Linked DNA regions of Caenorhabditis elegans. The protein of the gene in region 2 purifies or fractionates together with the protein of the main gene of each other region. This does not show direct contact. Each region holds a gene or a part of one and is shown on either strand. Other genes may lie near its edges. The genes, in order: ccdc-149 and chdh-1.

What was found.
Region 1: the proteins of chdh-1 (region 2) and ccdc-149 fractionate together in Caenorhabditis elegans (co-fractionation; one large-scale study listed by BioGRID). This does not show direct contact.

The regions. Positions count from the first base shown.
Region 1 is NC_003284.9:11,506,761-11,516,265, forward strand, and holds ccdc-149 (Coiled-coil domain-containing protein 149), read right to left. Parts: upstream 4,692-9,505; 5' UTR 4,585-4,691; coding exon 4,540-4,584; intron 4,457-4,539; coding exon 4,292-4,456; intron 4,235-4,291; coding exon 4,058-4,234; intron 3,698-4,057; coding exon 3,605-3,697; intron 3,563-3,604; coding exon 3,425-3,562; intron 3,349-3,424; coding exon 3,211-3,348; intron 3,164-3,210; coding exon 3,088-3,163; intron 3,027-3,087; coding exon 2,900-3,026; intron 2,853-2,899; coding exon 2,702-2,852; 3' UTR 2,682-2,701; downstream 1-2,681. Other genes in the region: F29G6.1 (Kazal-like domain-containing protein), read left to right, coding at 111-331, 376-542, 589-761, 804-989, 1,037-1,377, 1,420-1,571, 1,679-1,764, 1,818-2,026 and 2 more; hpo-34 (ZM domain-containing protein), read right to left, coding at 6,203-9,505.
Region 2 is NC_003280.10:8,693,625-8,703,783, reverse strand, and holds chdh-1 (Glucose-methanol-choline oxidoreductase N-terminal domain-containing protein), read left to right. Parts: upstream 1-4,855; 5' UTR 4,856-4,857; coding exon 4,858-5,014; intron 5,015-5,185; coding exon 5,186-5,381; intron 5,382-5,432; coding exon 5,433-5,774; intron 5,775-5,872; coding exon 5,873-6,180; intron 6,181-6,265; coding exon 6,266-6,552; intron 6,553-6,597; coding exon 6,598-6,960; intron 6,961-7,009; coding exon 7,010-7,156; 3' UTR 7,157-7,193; downstream 7,194-10,159. Other genes in the region: Homeobox protein ceh-7, read left to right, coding at 1-152, 360-416; sphk-1 (Sphingosine kinase 1), read left to right, coding at 2,116-2,359, 2,903-3,034, 3,086-3,183, 3,311-3,662, 3,710-3,816, 3,920-4,267, 4,314-4,454; C34C6.10 (Transposase), read left to right, coding at 8,604-8,757, 8,912-8,976; C34C6.3 (EGF-like domain-containing protein), read right to left, coding at 9,753-9,943, 9,989-10,159.

The DNA.
Region 1 (9,505 bases), on a different chromosome or scaffold from region 2:
TAGCCAATACTTCAAGAGTAATTCTTGATGAGTTTCTTGTACAAAATCAGTCCAACAATTTCAATAAACACATTAATAATTTTATTGAAACAGCATTTTCACTATTTCAGAAATCTGTGCGAGTTTACCTACTCTCGCTGCATTGCTGCTAGCAAAGGACATCAAATTCACATTGCTACTGAAGAGAACTGTATTTCAAAGGAAGCATGCCAAATGCCGTGCACTGATGATAAACACCCTATTTGTGCATCTGATTTTTCCACTTATGAAAATCTATGTCAGTTTAGAAAACAGAAATGTTTGGATTCTGAATTAGAAGTTTTATTCAAAGGTTACACTTTTTGGAAAAAAAAACATTCAAATAGTTGAATTCAGGAAAATGCAGCGAATGTCTAGATTCTCCATGTGCTCTCCCAGCAGAAAATTCCCCGGATGAGTCTTTTGTTTGCTTGGAAGACCAATCTACAAAATCACTGTGTGAATATCAAATGTTGTCTTGCATTTTTGAGCGCGGATACGGTGTGAACCTAACTGTTCAATATGTAAGTTAGGAAAGAAATTGTTTCATCAATTGTTTTTGATATTCAGATTGGAGTATGTTGCCCTCCTGTTGAGTCATGCGATACTGAAAAACCGGATCCAGTCTGCACTGATAGTGGAGCTACGTTTTTGACAGAATGCGAACTAAACATCGAAAACTGCAAGCTGAAGAAATTAGATCAACCAAAGCTTGTCGTTGTTTCACAAGGGATTTGCGAAAAGTAGGAAAATTATGAAAAATTGAAATGCAGATCTTGTTTCAGAGATATGCTAACCGATGACTTTTCAAGCAATCGAAATTTCCAAAAACCAAACATAGAATTCAAAAGAGAAAATACTTTTAATTGTTCTATGGAATGTGACAACTCATATGATCCTCTATGTGGAACTAACGGAGTTACTTTTACCAACGCATGCTCCCTTCAGAAAGAGATTTGTGAATCGGCGAAGTAATGAAGTTTGATAGTTTTTCAAATATAGATGATCAGAGTTTCAGCTCGACGATTGAAGTTGCTTACACCGGAATGTGTTGTGATACCAACTGTCCGTCCGATTTCAGCCCAGTTTGTGATAGTAAAGGAAGTACTCATCAGAACATATGCCATTTCGGAGTCAAAAGATGTATTGCCGAACGAACATTTGGGGATGTTCTTACAATTGACAAATTTGAAGTTTGCAATGAAGTCAAGGAATGTAACAACGCGTGTCCAAAAGAATACAGCCCAGTTTGTGCATCAAATGGGCAGAACATTGTGAACGAGTGTGAACTAGATAAAATTCGATGTCTTGTAGAAAATAATGTGACAACTGGAGATAAACTGGTGAAAGATTACGACGGTTTGCAATTTTTCTAGTTTCAAATAAAAATATTAATTTCAGGAGAATGCTGTAGAATCGAAAATTGCGACATTTCTGTCTTCTCACCAGTTTGTGATACTGAAGGAGTAACCCATGCGAATATGTGTCTCATGGATCAAAATGCATGCATTCAGATGAAAAAGAACAAGAAAACCATTCAAGTTTCCTATCAGGTAAACTCTGAAATAAATTTTTGAACGAAAGGTTTCCAATGCCATTATAAGGACAAAAATATTATTTTTTTTTTAACTTTAAATCAGATTAGTTACATTAATTAAAGGGACAATGCTGTAACCAGCCATGTGATGAAGATAAAACCCCAGTTTGCGACGGAACAATTACACATCCGAACATTTGCAGATTCAGGTAGGCTCATATATTGTCCTATTTTCTGTGACCGCAAATACTGACACTTTCAGAATTGCACAATGTGAAGCAGAACGAGTAAACAAAACGCTCAGCATTGCCTATTCAGGAGAGTGTTGTCTTCTCCCAAAAGGAGAGTGTGAAAGTTCTGGAGCAGTTTGTGATTCAGAGGGTCAAACTCATATGAATCATTGTGTTTATCAACAAAGAAGATGTATGGCACAAACCATATCTCAGAAGACTCTAAACATTGTTCATACAGGTATATTAAAGTTTTTTCAAACCAACAACAGCAAAAAAAAAGAGCAAAAAAAATGAAGTTGAAATTTTTCGTGTACTCAATATTAACTCATTGAATACACATGTTTAAAATGGAACATGTACATATACCTGACAATTTGATTATAATGAATCACCTTAAATAAAAAAATAAATTTCAAAATTTCAAACAGATGCAACTTTTCAGGAGAGTGTTGTGCATTAGCTTCGTGCCCAAAAACCGGACAGCCGGTATGTGACTCAAGAGGTCGAACTCATGATTCTCTTTGTCACTTTCATAACTCAAAGTGTATATTTGACAAGATTCATACTCAAAACACAACGTTAACCCTGGACTACCAAGGTTTGTTTTCTTGTTACTTCAATACAACTATTGAACTACTTGTTTTCAGGAAAATGCTGTCCCGCTGGATGTACAGATGAGTTGTCTGTTATTTGTGACCAACATGAGAACATATACCGAAACTCGTGTTATTTTAATCTGAAAGCATGTGAAACGTGGCGACGAACACAAGACGTGCTTCTTGCCACACCCTGCCCGCTATTACGAACGTGAAGATTCCCAATCAAATTATAATTTAACTTTTTTGTTTTATAGTTGTTTTTTTGTAAATAAATGGTGAGATGTTTGGAAAAGGTTGACATTTAAACGATTTATTCATTTACTCGATGTACTTGCCACTGCCTTTGGGACTACCAGTTCAATGTCTTCATCTCGAGGGAGTTCATGCCTCGGACTTGAACTTCTTGACTTTATATCTAATACAGCAAGCTTTGATTCAACTTCATGTAATCTCATTCCCAGTACTCTGAAAAAAAAACAGTATTCCTTATTGAAACGTTGTATGACTCCCACTTGTTAGCACGACGTGAGTGTGCCAACGCCATTTGCTTATCATTGCACAAATCGAGCAGAATAGTTGTTATCGCACGATAATCGGACTCGACGAGTTCGATGGCATGAGAAGCTAGCAACTCACGAACTGAAATATGCCGGAAAATAATGGAATACGAAGTACAAAAACTGTGTCCAAAAAGTCTCACTTTGTTTCATATTGATGACTGCTACACTTGGTTTGTCATCTCCTTCGCCAGCCTTTGGAGATCTATTCACCATCGTCTTGAAATAAAATTTTCACATAGGCGATAATGATTCCAAAAAGTTACCTGTACATTTACAGCTTCGGCCATTTGTTTGTATTTGGCAAGTGTCATTTTTATGGACTCACTCTCTTCTTCTGCAGTGTTTAGTTTGGCTTTCAAAAACCGGTTTTCGGCCACTAAACTGTCCAAATCTTCGGCCACCTAAATACGCCAATTAGAATTCAACTCAAAAACAATCCGAATACCAGGTGTATAAAAAAGGGAATACTTGACTTACCCTTCTCGGATCTCCATTCAACAAATAACTCAACTCGTTGCTCAATCTTGCTACCTTCCGCTGCATTTCGTCGCGTTCCATGAGCAGCTCTTCTTTGATTCCAAGCATAGACCGGAGATCCGATTCAAGACCTTTGCACTGAAAAACAATTATGGCAAACCAAATTGAAACGGAACAAACCTTTGCCTGAAGTTTTTCATGAGCTTCCAGCTTTGAAACTTCGTCATTTTCCGTTGAAAATGAATTTCGAACCGGTCCTCCCATTTTTTCTACCTAAAAGCCATAAACATTGAAGCTAATTTTAAAAAATTAAGTACAAATTTCGCAAAATGTTTTTATCGAAGATTGTTTATAAAACAATATAATGGCTATAAATTAAATTTATGCTACATAATAATATTAGACTTTGCTGCAAAGTCTCATATTATTATGTATGAACTTTTTAAAAAGATTAAAAGGTATTTGTACCTGAAAAACGAATGAATCAATTTTATGAAATAAACTCGTTTTTTTGTCAAGATTTTTTGTTTCTGTTGCAATAAATCTCTCAATATAATCATTTTAAATTAAAAAAAAACGAAATGAAATAAGTAGAAATGTTTCTCGATATTCTGTAAATATTCAAATGTTTACCTCAAACTGAGCAATTGTCTGTCGAAACGTTTTGCAGTCTTTTTTCAAGTCAGCTTTTTGGTCCAACAATTCTTGCCTGTCGGTCCTTAATTGTTGATTTTCTCGCTTGTACTTTTCAATATCTTCTATCAAATCCTGTCGCTCTGTTCCGAATTTTATTTTCATGTCGTTCTGACACTAAATTAAAATTCGTTAAAAATTTGATAATGATTTATTTAATGAAGGTTGACTTACCGCACATACTAACTGCAATTCTCTTTCAGATCTTTCCAAATTTCGTTCTAGTGTTTCGACTCTGGCCGCAAGTCCCTTTTTCTCATTCTCAGATTTCTCCAAATCTTGTCCGAGTCTCACGATCGTGTCTGTTTTCGCACCGCATTTTTGTTGGAGAGCGGTAAACTATAATTATGTATTAAACATAGTTATAGTCAGAAAACGATTTTGCAAAAAAAATATATAATTTTTTAATAAAAAGTTCTTACTTGTTTCTTGAGCTCGAGAATCTCCGCATTATTATTTTCTTTCATGAAGATGGCACAGCTCAAAGAGCATTAGAAGACTAAATAAGGACAAAAATCGATATGCACAGAGGGGGAAGAGAGGGCCTCACTGCTCCTCGCACACGTTTTCCATGACCGCCTTTCATGCATTGAAAAAGTTGGGCGAACATAAACTTTCGAGTACGAAATGAATTTCTGCTGTATGATATCTTGAAGCTTCTTTTCCAAACAACGAAGTTTAGTGAAAATAAATTTATTAAGTTTACCACTTGACGAAATAAGAGAAAATAAGAAAAAGAAGCCCAACTACCCCAGAATAAGTACAAAAAGTGTCAAAAATAACAGAAAATGACTAGCTATCACAGGTTTAGAATAAAACATTTAAAAAGTTGGATTGCAGTTAAGATAATACAAATAGAATTAGTGAATGTAAGCAGATGGGTTCGACGCGTATTCCGGAAGATGAGCAGGTCCATAGTTTTCAAAAAGCTTGCGCATATCAGCAACATGAATCAAATCGTCATATTGCTAAAAATAAAACAAAATAAATTATTGTTCAACTTTGTAAACTTACGTCGTGCTCGTGGACGTTTTCTTGTGTGAGAGTAGCATTGCGGGATCTCTGAACAAATTAAGTTACTAAGTTATTGAAAAAAAAACAAAATTACCGGAGTTGGAACAGCAATATTTCCACCAACAAGAATTGGAGCAGAAACAGTGGAGACAGATGACGAGCGAGAAGAGGCAACAGATGAACAAGTTGATTTGCGTGGAGCCTTAAAACTCAATTTTTTTTTTCTTTCAAATAAAGTCATTTTACATCATTAATTTGGATTCCTTTTCCAACCGAAACTAATGTGTTTTTACGAGAAGATTTCACAGAGTTGCACTCATCATGCGGTTGGAATGTTTCATGAGAAATTGGGCTTCTTTGGGAAAGTCGTGGCACTCCAGCAAGAGGAGTTGGTGGTGGAACAACGTGAGTTGCTCCAAAAACGTTGACAAACTCTCGAACATTTTTCACGACACGAACAGATTGATGGTCTCCGTATGGATTGTAAATAACATGCTGTTGAACAGTTGGATTGACACCTAAAAAATGAAGGTATCATCAATATCAGAATGTTATGTGTATTAAGTGTTATCTAAACAAACATCTAGAAATTCCAACGTTGTACAAAAAACAAATTCCAAAATATACTTACGTTGAACTGGAGCTCCACGAACAGTGCTCACCGTCGAGGTGCGAGAATGTGGCTGGTGCTGAAAATAATAAGTGAGCTTTTATGTCGTGTGTTCCGGAATGTGATTGAATGGGATTTTCTAATTACAAGAATATGTTACCTTGACATAATTAGCAACACTTGATGGTCTCGATGGAACATCGTTGCGATTCTCGTGATCATGATGATGGTGGTGATGATGTCCACTTTGGATTGTCGACTTCCGGGAACCGCCCAACTGCACGTGCTCACTCACTTTCTGCAATTTTTTGTTTACTGATAACGCCGGATGTAAGTTGGCATACCTAATGATATTATAGATGGGGGATGGGGAAATTGGGCAAAAGAGATTTGGAAGTCAAGTTTCAAAAAATGAGAAAAAAGTACTAAGTTAAAAAATAAATTTAAGAAATCTGGCATATCTAATAATCAGGCTGAGGAGAGGTGAAAGAGCGAGGTTTGGGAACTGGTTGCGATGGCTCCTCAGGAATGCCATTGTTACGAGATTTTCCATTTTTGAGCATGTAGTTTGTTGGTTCATCAGGAATTGTCTTGTACGGTTTTACGAATGCATTTGTGTAGACTGGTGGTTTCGCCACATACTGATTTTCTTGATCTTCATCATCATCAGTGCTCTTCAGAATTTTTTTCCTTTGTTGTCGAATCATATCAGTGGTAGTGCTAGTTGGTTTCTTGACTGAAGGCAAATAGTGATGTTGGTAATCTACGGCTGGAGTTGGCGCTTTGGGCTGAACAGATGGCACATAGTGGTGATGATGATCGTAGTCAGGAGCCACTTCTTTGTGTGGAATTTGTGGCACAAAATGATGACCCAATGGAACACGAGCTGCGGTTTCTTTCCTCGGAATTTGAGGCAAATATCCATGATGAGTGTCGATATCGTCATATGTATTGGATACAATTTGATGAGATGGAGTGTAATGATGTTGCGTGTGATTCAAAATTCTTGGTTCAGTACTCTTGACAACAGTTGGAGTGTACTTGTGTTCGTACTCAACTTGATTGACAACACTCTTTTCGAAAACTGGTGGAACGTAATGGTGCTTGTCATAGTCACTTAGTTTCACATCTGAAGGTTTTGCAATTTGTGGAACGTAATGATGGTGATCAAAGTTATCACGATGTTCATGTGGTTTGACAATTGTTGGCACATAGTTGTGATGACGTATATCAGTTCGACGAGGCTCAAATTTCTTTTGGTAAGTGGGGACGTAATTGTGCTTCTCCAATGTGCTTCGGTCCAAATTTTGGGATTTGTGAACAGTTGGCACGTAGTTATGAGTTTCTGGTAGTTTTGGAGTTTCGTGTTTAGAAGGAATCTTCTCAACGAAATTGTGGCGATGTTCGATCTCAGAAGTGATTCCGGTTGTTTTTCTAACAGACGGCACGTAGTGGTGATCTTGTCCTTCGAATTTTTCATCGGGCTTGGCTGGAACAACTGATGGGACAAAATTGTGCTCACGATGAATCTGTTTGATCTTATCCTTTTTCAGTGTGTCCGGAACATAATGATGGTCTCGCTCAAATCCCCAATAATCGTTGTGGGCCTTTTTCGTTGGTGGAACATACCCATGTCTTGAGTGATCTGCATGATCTTGAGCTTCCTGATGTTTGATGGATGGAAGGAAGCCATGCTTTGAATGATCAATTTGATCACTACTCTTTGAACGCTTCGATTGTGGGAGATATCCATGCTTTGTGGGATCGGAGGCGTTTTTTTCGATGATCTTAGTGACAGGAGGCACGTAGTTGTGGGTGGAAACGACGCCTCGTTCAATTCTCTGTGAGTGTTCCAATGATGGAACATATCCATGTTTCGAATGTTTGAAATCATCCTTGGACTCCGTGTGCACCACTGATGGCAAATATTCATGCTTGGAATGATCGACAGAGGTTTTTAAATCCGATTTTTTGACAGGTGGCACATATCCATGCTCATGAACAACTTGATTATCCTTGGTCTTGTGTGGAATCTGAGGGACAAAAGAGTGGTTGATGAGTTTAGGCGGAGATTGATGTGAGGTAGATTTTTGACTAGGGGGAAGGTAAGAATGAGACTGATAGTGCTCATGCCGGGATTGGTGCTCTTTGGGAGGAAGGGCTGGAATGTAATTGTGAGAGCGATTCACCTCCGAAATAGTTTTCCTTGGGCTGGCTTGCGGTACATATTGATGATCCTGATGCACGTGGATGTCTGTCGTTGTCGCTTTTGCAGTTTTTCCAACCGGAACATAATTGTGTCTTCTATCATAACCATTCGTTTGCTCCGTTCTCGTGATTGGCGGAATGTACTGATGCTCATAGAGTACATTTTTCTTTGCTTCGTGTTTTGCAGCGACTGGAATATATCCATGTTGACGATCAAGTTGATGATTTGTTTCATGATGATGGACTGCAGGAATATAGTTATGTTGCTCATGAACATGTTTTTGATGATGCTCTACTGATCGAACAGGTGCCGGATAGTAATGATGTTCTCGTGGAAGTTGTGGAGCTTTTGATGAGTAGTTCTGGACAAGAGGAACATAATGGTGGTCTTTTCCTTCAAGTTTTCTTACCGCGAAACTATCCTTTTTGGGCGGAAGTGGAACATATTGATGCTCATACAACTTAACAGCTTCTTTCTGTTCGGCGTTAACAATAGGTGGCAAATATTGATGGTTCGTCAAATCGACTTTTTGATGCGAATCGTCATGAATAGCAATCGGAATATAATTGTGCTCCGAAGGAAGTCTCGGTACACTTTGATGTCTCATAGCTAGCGGAATATATTGATGCTGAATGACAATTTTGGAAGCGTGACTCTCCGTTGGTTTAGCAATAAGAGGCACGTAGTGGTGCTCTTGTCCTTTGTGAACCGAAACTCGTTCAGTATTCGATGCCAACGGGTAATAGTGATGTTCGTAGCCGACCTTATCACCCGCTGCCGTCTTTCCCTCTTCCCTTTTTGCTGGCAGTGGCATATAGTGATGATGACTTAAGTCGTTAGAGTGACGCGTCTCTTCTACAGTTTTGGTTGCAAGCGGCACAAAGTTGTGATGACGGCTTATCGGCTCTTTATCGGAAACAGCCACATTCGAATGAGCTGGCACATAATTATGCTTTTGATTGATTTCTTCGACGTTTTTTTCCTTTTTATCAACAACAGGAACAAAGTTGTGCTGACGAAAAATCTCGGTTTTTGACTGCTCCACATTTCCACCTAATGGGATATAAGAGTGGCTTCTTCCAGTATCAAACGATTTTGTTTCCTTGTGAGTAGTCATTGGAACGTATTGATTGTGACGTTCAATTTCTGTTTTGCTCTGCACTTGCTCCGTTTTCAACGGAATGTAATGATGCTCTCGAGTGATATTCACATTATGTTCATCAGTTTTATGAGCGGTCAGTGGAATGTAGTGATGCTCGTGAACAACATCTTTGACTGCTTCGGTTTTTTTCTCCGCTGGTATGAAATGATGTTCGTGATTCACTTTTTGTTGATGATCCTCCGTTGTTTTTCTGACAAGTGGAACATAGTGATGTTCAGGATGAACTACTTTTAAATCCAACGATTGAGAGCGTTTCTCAAGAGGAACATAATGATGTTCCCTGATTATTTTTCTCTGATCTTTCACATTCGCTGGTGAATCTGGGAGATAATGGTGCGCTCTTTCAACACTACGACTCTTTCTTTCAGCTTCCAAACTGTTTGGAATAAAGCT
Region 2 (10,159 bases):
CAGAAGCTTCAACCTCCAGAATTCCACGTAGAAGAACCACATTTACAGTGGAACAACTATATTTACTCGAAATGTATTTTGCACAAAGTCAGTATGTTGGATGTGATGAAAGGGAAAGATTGGCAAGGATTTTGAGTCTAGATGAATATCAGGTTTCTATTGTTTTTAGAAATCTATTCTCTATTAAAATTGTTTGCGAAATTTATCCACCAGGCTGAGCTCCAGCAACTTCTACGTTAAGTCTAACATATCCGATTGTATGTTGTAAAGATGTGATTAGATCAATCTAGGAAAAAAATAAAAAATTTTTAAATCAGTTGTTATCATTCAATAATTTTCCGAGACGTAGCACATTACAGGTGAAGATTTGGTTCCAAAATCGTCGAATCCGGATGAGAAGAGAAGCCAATAAATAATAGTCAAATATTTATTTAATTTCATTTCACTGAAATAAATTTTGTAGTTAGAACCACTATTTCCAACATTGAAAACATCGCTTTACGGTTTTGAAAACTCCTCGAGAGCAAATTCCTGATCATCTGACACTTTTCCAGACATTAACCCATTGTCTTTTAACCTGACAAATTGTCGATTTCTTGGACAAACAGTCAAGTTGGTAGGCGAGTCATGGGGAGTACACTACATAAATGAGTTGTGATGTTTGATTTTTCTCTTTTTTGTATGTTTTGCATTGATTAGAAGCAGCCAATTCTTTCTTAAAAAATAATAAACTCATATTGTTTAAAAAATCATCTAGTGCATTTTAATTGGAAAAACTGGCCAAAACTTGCAAAAAAGCATAAAGTTATGGGAGACTTGAGAACGTATAGATTGAAAAGCATATAGGTTTGTGCACACGGCGCAACTTTTATTTTCACAGTTTACCTTTGAAAAGAACACATCTAGTAATACTTCCTTGTTTTTTCATCAAAGTGACCGTTCATTCACTCAGCGATCTCAGAGTGCACTATTCTCCCAATAGTCAATACAATGCTTTGATAATTCAAGAGAGATGTTTGCTCACTTTCCGCAACTCTTTCCGTATTCCACCTGGCTGTAGAGGTATTTCCCTCTGGAAAACGCTCAAATTTTTAATTTTTCCCGGAATTGAAACAATTCAAGATAGTGTTATCAACTTATGTGGTTGACTGACTACTTTTAAATTTCCATCTTTATTGTCTTGATCATTCATTTTTCAATTATTATTTAGTTGGAAAATAACTCTCCCATTGATCAGATCTGAAATCTCAAAAAAGTACTCTGAAATCCATTATAGTTTCCTTTCTACAAAATGGTTTTGATTACAGTTTCACAGCATATAGTTAGAAGATTGAAATTAGATACTTTATGTTTTATGAAGTTAAAGTATAAATACACATGTTTAACCAAACTGCATGATTCATATCCTTCCTCAATATAAATTAATCCACACAGGTTCCCTACATTTCCCATTCCTTGTCTATTGCCCTGCACTCTTAATTGTTCCCCATTCAACCTACGTCCTATTGTTCATTTAATGTTTTCATTCAAACATTTCTTACCACGTGACAATAAAACATTGTGTCCCTATTTTAGAATTTTGTTTTTTTCAAAAAACTGAACACATCAGTACTCGTTCATTTTCTACTAACCTTTTCTGTGAGTTGTTTGCAGTGTAAATAAGCGAAAATGTGTGTAGCGTTGCAGTGCTCAATAAGTCTATTTTATGCACCATAGCAACTCGCAATAGACTACAACAATGTTTTTAACGCTCAAAAATCCTTGGTTCTTTAAAACATTGAAAAATAGTAAAAATGAATATTTATAAGGCTAAATAATTTCCAACCCAAATTTGTTAGAAAAAGTGCATGTGCTTTGCATATCGATTTTCTGTAAAATAAACATTTCCTTCCAAGAACTGTTAGCTGAACGGTGCCAGCGATTTAAGATTTCAAGCTTAATTTGAAATTATATTAAATTGAGAAAACCGTACGTCTAAAAATGTTCGTACAGGTACTTCGCACTTAGTTAAGCCGTGTTCAACTCCTGTCATTTCTCATCTAACCACTCTCTTTCTCTAACACACTCTAACCATGACCAACTCCTTGAGCCCCTCATACCTTTACATTAACCAAAATGTTCATAGTAGTGGTAACAATTTTTGAAAATTATACACAATGGTACTCTTCGCTACTAACAATATTCAGTCTAACTATCAAACGAAAGCTAAAGACAATTCGGAGTATGCAGGACTCTACATCAAAGTGCACTTGCACCGAACATCACATGGGCGGGACAATTTGCTGCTGTTGCCGATCGGATGCTGAGGAAAACGAGCAGCTCACAAGTGTGATATTGAGCAGAAAACCACCGCCACAGGGTGAGTTTTTTTTGGAAAAGTTTAATATTTTTCTAATAACGTAATTAATTTCATGATAAATTGTGATTTTAATTGAAAAATATTTCAAGTATTCATGTTTGAAAAAGAGCTATACATGCGTCTAGGCCTGAAAAGTTTCACGACGGGTGCATTTCTGCGTAGGATCCGCTGCACTGTCGTAAAATGTGATGCTTTACCGTAGCTAAAAATCCTTTAATTTATTTTTTCTTTAATTTTCAAATCAAATTTCAATTCAAATCAAAAGTTGTTTTGAAAAATAATTGTATAAATGTTCAACTCGTTTCATCCGCTTGTTAATGCTGGTCATTGATCCCTCGATTAAACCGCCTGTTGTTACATAAAAATCGATATGCCAAAGACCACGCAGCCAATTTTCGAGAATCGTTTGTTTATAATATCTCACAAGAACCCACTTAAACTTTGGAATAATGGAAGGTTAGGATTTTCTTAGAATTTTAGCAACATAATAAATAATTAATTCAATAATTTCTTCCCATATTCTATTTTAAAATTATTTTACAGAACAATGTCGTGGAAATCTTCTTGTTTTCATCAATCCTAACAGTGGAACTGGAAAAAGTCTGGAGACTTTTGCGAATACAGTTGGACCGAAGTTGGATAAAAGCTTGATTCGATATGAAGTCGTTGTTACGAGTGAGTTTCAGGAAAACTAGAAAAAAAAACAAATTAATGTTTACTTTACAGCCGGGCCGAATCACGCGAGAAATGTGCTCATGACAAAAGCCGACCTTGGAAAGTTCAATGGGGTTTTGATTCTTTCTGGAGATGGTTTGGTTTTCGAGGTAACGCTTTCAAAAAACACGAAATTAGTTTAAATTCGTTGGAGGCAGTTTTTGAATTTAAAAAATTATATTATTCACCTTTCCGCCGAAATAATGCAATTTTAATTTCAAATTTGTAAATTTTCAGGCTCTCAACGGAATTCTTTGTCGTGAAGATGCATTCCGGATATTCCCAACTCTCCCAATCGGAATTGTTCCCAGCGGATCCGGAAACGGACTTTTATGTTCGGTTTTGTCGAAATACGGAACAAAAATGAACGAGAAATCTGTAATGGAAAGAGCTTTGGAAATTGCCACCTCACCAACAGCAAAGGCGGAAAGCGTAGCTTTGTATTCAGTTAAAACAGATAATCAGTCATATGCATCGTTTTTGTCAATTGGATGGGGTTTGATGGCAGATATTGACATTGACAGTGAGAAATGGAGAAAATCGCTTGGCCATCACAGATTCACTGTTATGGGATTCATTCGCAGCTGCAGTAAGATTTTAAAAAATTTAAATTATTCTAAAACTTCCAATTTTCAGATCTCCGATCTTATAAAGGACGCCTTACGTATCGTCCATACAAACCAAAAGGATTCCATCCATCGTCCAACGTTTTCAGTGTGTATGAAAAAACTACACAACAAAGGGTGATCAATTTCAAAAATATATTTTTTAAAATAGTTCTTAACATATATTTTTTAAGTATTTTTTATTAGTAACGACCCTTCCAATAATTTCTCATTTTTCTAGATTGATGATTCAAAAGTAAAAACGAATGGATCCGTGTCAGATTCCGAAGAAGAAACAATGGAGACAAAATTCCAAAATTGGACGCTGCCCGATTCAGATGAAACTTTGGCAGTTGGAAGTTCTGATTTAGAAGAAACTGTCGTAATCGAGGATAATTTTGTGAATATCTATGCAGTTACTCTTTCCCATATCGCAGCTGATGGACCATTCGCTCCAAGTGCCAAATTAGAAGATAATCGAATTCATCTTTCGTATATTCTATGGAAAGATATCGGTACACGAGTTAATATTGCTAAATATCTTTTGGCGATTGAACACGAGACTCATCTGGATCTACCCTTTGTTAAAGTTAGTGTCACCTTTTCTTTCTATTAATTCAAAACTAAATTTTCAGCACGTGGAAGTGTCGTCAATGAAACTGGAAGTTATCAGTGAAGGATCACACGTAGTACTCGATGGAGAAGTAGTCGACACGAAAACAATTGAAGTAGCATCGACAAAAAATCATATTTCCGTTTTCTCATCAACTGCCTAGAAATTAAATATCTTTTATCTTTGATTTCTAACCGGTTTTCCTTGTGTACAAACACCGATGTATAGATTTTATTTTATTTTCCCAAAGAAGTAACCTAATAACTATGTTTTAGGATTTAAAGTATATTGAAATAGCTTTTCCTCACATTTTTTGAAGTTTTTAATCTATTCAAGGGTCCCCTCTCTCACTTTTCCTCTACTTCGTTTCGTGTGCTTTCCTCATTTTTTACTTGCCTTTTCTGTGATTTATTTACTTTAAAAATTTTCTAAACGTTTAAAAATTATTTTCCTATTCTCTACTGAATTGTTTTACGTGAAAGTCAAGTTATTGGTTCTAGATACTGTTTTCAAAAAAAAAAAAGACCCACTGGAAAAAAAGTTATTTTATTTCCCATTTTGAAGATATGCTTCAAAATCATGCGGCACGATCTCTACAAAGGACCTCAAAACGATGGATAAACTGGAGAGATTCGATGAAAGAAGGCACATTTTCAGCGGATATTGCAGAAAATAAACCAACGCATATTATTGTTGGAGCTGGAAGTGCTGGCTGCGTTTTAGGTAGGAGATTTCTCTTGATTTTGGTAATTTCAGATTGAAACCAATTGTTTTTCATCATTTTTAACTTTCTTCAAAAAAGACAGAATATTGATTATTGGATTTTCATGTCGAAAAAGAGACAACCGTAGTTAAAATTTCAATTTCAATGTTATATTCAAATTGAACTTACAGCAAACCGTCTAACTGAAGATCCTTCGAATCGAGTACTTCTTATCGAAGCTGGACCAGTTGATCATAAATGGGATTGGAGAATACACATGCCAGCTGCACTTATGTATAATCTCTGTTCAGACACTTATAACTGGCATTATCACACAACTGCTCAAAAAAATTTAGGAAATCGAGTATTTTATTGGCCGAGAGGAAGGTTTGTTTCGACTTAGGTTTTTCTAATTCAATTTATTAGAAACATTTCCAGAGTATGGGGTGGAAGTTCAACACTGAATGCAATGTGCTATGTACGAGGACATGCCTACGACTATAATCGATGGGAGAAAGAAGGTGCATCAGGATGGAACTATGCAAATTGTCTACCATACTTCAAAAAAGCAGAGACTTATTCTGACGCAACCGGTCCAAATGACCCATATAGAGGAAATAATGGTCCATTATACGTTAAAAAAGGAGATGCTGAAAATCCATTGCATAAAGCTTGGTTAAATGTTGGAAAAGAACATCCGTTAGGTTGGACAAATGATATGAATGGAGAAAAACAGGAAGGAATATCTACTATGGATATGACTATTCATAATGGAGAACGGTAAGGATTCAGCGGATTTTTTAAAATATAACAATTGATCTACCATTTCTTCCTATAAATAGAAATATCACTGATACTAATTCTCAATAGTTTTTCAGCTGGTCCGCATCGAAAGCATATGTTCATCCGATTCGAAACCGTCCGAACTTGATCACATCTTCTGGAATCACTTGTACACGGGTATTATTCGACACGAACAAGGCGATCGGAATCGAATTTATTCGAAAATTGAACTTTGTCGGAACGGATTCTATCGATTCATACAGTAGAGAGAAGATTTATTGCCAAGGAGATGTTATTTTGGCTGGTGGAGCCATCAATACACCCCAATTGCTTATGCTCAGTGGAGTCGGGCCAGCTGATCATCTGAGGTCTCACGAAATTCCAATAGTTGCAAATTTACCTGGTACGTATTCTAGTACAACTTGCTAGATTGTTTAAAATTTGCAAATTTTGTTATCAAACTACAATGATTCAAAAAATTATTCCAGGAGTTGGTCAGAATCTTCAAGATCATCTTGAGATCTATGTTCAACAAGAATCAACGCAACCCGTAACCCTATACAACAAAAGTTCATGGAAGTTCCCACACAATATGATCAAAATCGGGCTCGAATGGTTCACAAATCGAACAGGACTAGGTGCATCATCTCATTTGGAAACTGGTGGATTTGCAAGATCAGATGATACGGTTACACATCCTGATATTCAATTCCACTTTTTACCATCTACAGTACACGATGATGGTAGAACCAATGGAACTTGTCATGGTTATCAGGTAATAAATTATAACTTTTATATCAATCTTAATTGCAATTTACAGGTCCATGTTGGTCCAATGCGGTCTCAATCGAAAGGATACATAATGTTACAAGCCAAGGATCCTCGCCGTGCTCCAATCATCAATCCGAACTATATGGAAGAAGATTCAGATTGGCGAGAATTCCGTAAATGTATCCGAGTGTCTCGTGAACTTTTCGCATCAAAAGCGTTTGACGAATTCAGAGGAAAGGAGTTGGCTCCTGGACCAGATTGCCAATCAGATGCTGATATTGATCGATTTGTTAAAGAAAAAGCAGCATCAGCATATCATCCATCATGTACTTGTAAAATGGGATCAGAAAATGATAAAATGGCAGTTGTTAATCCAGAAACGATGGGAGTATACGGAACAGAAAATTTGAAAGTAAGGAATCAATGAAATTCTCACACTTCGTGCATTCATTATATTTCAGGTCGTCGACGCAAGTGTAATGCCATCAATTGTTAGTGGAAACTTGAACGCCCCAGTGATAATGATGGCAGAACGAGCAGCGGATCTGATAAAACACAAAAAACAACTACTTCCACCGTCAGATGCAAATGTTTGGCACCATAACTAGGATTTTTATTTATTTTAATAAAGTTATTTAGATTCTGAATAATTCGAACTGTGGGGTTGAAAGACGTACACGTATAATTAAGCAATTACCTAACTATTATATAAATGCAGTGCTCTGAAAATGTGTATTGACGCCAAAATTATCCCGTTGCGAAAACTACAGTAATACTTTAAACCACTAAATACTGTAAACAGCACTTGTGTCGATTTATTGGTTCGATTTTTGAAATGAATTTTTTTCGAATAGTGACATTCCATTTTCCTTACAATTAGTTTCTTCGTATTATGGTAATCCTACAGTACCATACAGTACCTCGACATCATCTTTCCATCCATTATCTCTTTAAAAATCAAAATTTCACAGTTCCGGAGAGTACAGTAATCCTACCGTTTTCCTACAGTAATCCCACAGGATTTTATACAGTACCATACTCTCTACTATCACCAACTTACTATACCTTCTAGAGAAAACCTTTTTCAAATTAAAGCACAAACTTCCAATACAACAGACAGATAATTAAAAAGAAAGACTCCACGTCATTAATAAACACGTGAACTTTGCGGTGGCCACTGCCACGTTGTCGCGACGCCATCTACCGACCAGGGGTGCGCATGGGTCAAAAAGAGTCGACCCGCTCCAACTTTGAGCAAGTAGTACTGACGAAAACAAGTTATTTTTTTCTCTCATTATTTTTCTTTATATTTTTTATTTATATTATAATGTATTATTTATCTTTTCAGGGAATACGTACGAAATGCCTTCCCATCGACCAAAGATCAGGAAACTCCTAGCAGAATATGGTTTCAGTATTATTGTGTCACAACAAGGACCATTAAACAACAAGGACCATTAAAATATTTAAACCATTAAAATTATACAATTTCGAGGATTTAGATGCAAATACCTAAAAATGGGCGGGACTTACCTTACCTAGTTCAAATTAAAGTCGCAAACTTTTCTCAGAACATTGTGATAATCTCGTGAAATTTTGATCCTTCACAAATTAAAATTAACACCTGTGAAGTACACATACTTGCTAATTTCATATTAAAAAACATTAGGTTATGATATTCTATATCTATATCTACAGGCCAGGATTTACCGTAAAGCATTCAGCTTTTTTTCAGGCGACCGGAATATGAAAATTACTATCTTTGGCACGTCAGATGCAATTGCACATGCAATTCTCGAGCCCAAATTCCGTTGCAGTGGACAGTCTATATATTTGCTGGATGACTATTCATCTGAAAATATTGTAGTAATTGCAAGACCGTCTCATTCAATTGGTGGGCAAGCAGAAAATCTCAGCCAACTCACACCTACAAGCTGTTCTCTTCCAATCAAATAGTTTTATGTGGTGTGAAGAGTGACGTAAGGATTATCATAATTATTATATATAAATACCTCATAATTATCATTTTAGGAAACAACATTTTCTATCCTGAAAATGGTCGAAAAGTTAGCACTCGACACAGCAACTTTCGGAAGTCGCTTCAATGACTTATTGAAAGTGCCATGCAAAACTATGAAGGCGTGGATCAGCAGTGAAGCCGACGAGCCCACCACTGAGATTGGCCCATTCACCAAAGAAAAATTGAAGAGTAAGTTTGAGCTTGATTCCGAAGATTTCTGCTTAGATCCTGGATTCATTTCTTTCTGACCTCTAAATAAAACCTCAAATGAAATTAACAGTTTATTATATTTTACTTTTTTTTTCTCAAAATTCATATTTTGTCATATATTCATGGTTTTCAGACGGCTATCAACAAGGCCAAAATGGCGACGTCCATCACGGAGCCGAATCTCTCTTTTTGGCTTGAATCATTGACGGAGCTTCTAGCAATTCCTTGTCACTCGATTGTGAAGGATCTGTCAAAAGAGGCAATGGTCATTTGCCCGGTCTTCCGAATTTCAAGGACTTTCACAAATTATGGTCATGTGCTATACGTGTCACAGAAGCCACTCGGGACGAAACCGATGAAATTAACAATTACGTTATGCACGATTATGAAGCCAGAGACTCCCGTGGTGCCTGAAGTAAGCTATTGTATTTTCCTACAATGGCATTGTTCTTACTATTAGAAATTGATTTTTTCGGCTATCATCTAAATTTTTCTTCAATTGTTAAAAGTTAATTCATTCAAAAATATTATGTTTTTTTACGATTATGTATTGTAATTAATAAAATATTCTTCTCGAAATTCTCGTCACGGAAATTTGAGCCATAGAGACCCGTTCCTTTCATCTGAACAAAAAATGTGTATCTTTTAAATTCAATATTGCTACTCACACTGCATAAGCCGTCTTGAATCATGAAGTCCTTGACGGCACGATGCAATGTGCACATGAACAGTTCGGTGATAATGATGACAGAACGAGTAGTGGATCTAATCAAACACAAGAAACAACAACTTCCATCGCCAGTTGCAAACCATAAATTAGATTTTTATTTATTTAAAAAAATTTATTTAGATTATGATTAATTCTCGAACACTAGGCATTGAAGGCTAGAAGTTGATTATTTACAAGTATAATTAAATAATTAGCTAGTTTAGATACCGGTAATAATAGTGGAATGGGATATCGAAGTGAAAACTTAATAGAAAATAACGAGGATCATCGATAATGATAACAAAACTTGCAGAGTAGCTGATGAGTTTTCAGATTCGGTAGAGGTGGTTGTTGTTGGAGCTATAGTATTTCTAATTGTCATTTCAGGTACATGATTGATTGTTGATGGACTCTGACGAGTTGTTGAAGTAGATACTGTCATGGGTTCCAGGCGATCTGTTAATTTTTTTGATTGATTTTCAACCTATAACGTCAACTCACCATGAACCACGTTTTTAACTCCAAAAGCAAGCTCATTGGTTGGCTGTGACGGTTGCTCAAATGTGACATTGACAACTTCTGCCAATTTGAGTTTCTCGACCCCTCTGTTGATTCCCTGGAAGTTGGAACCCATTTGACTATCCCCTTTTGACCAGACAATCAGGATTTCAT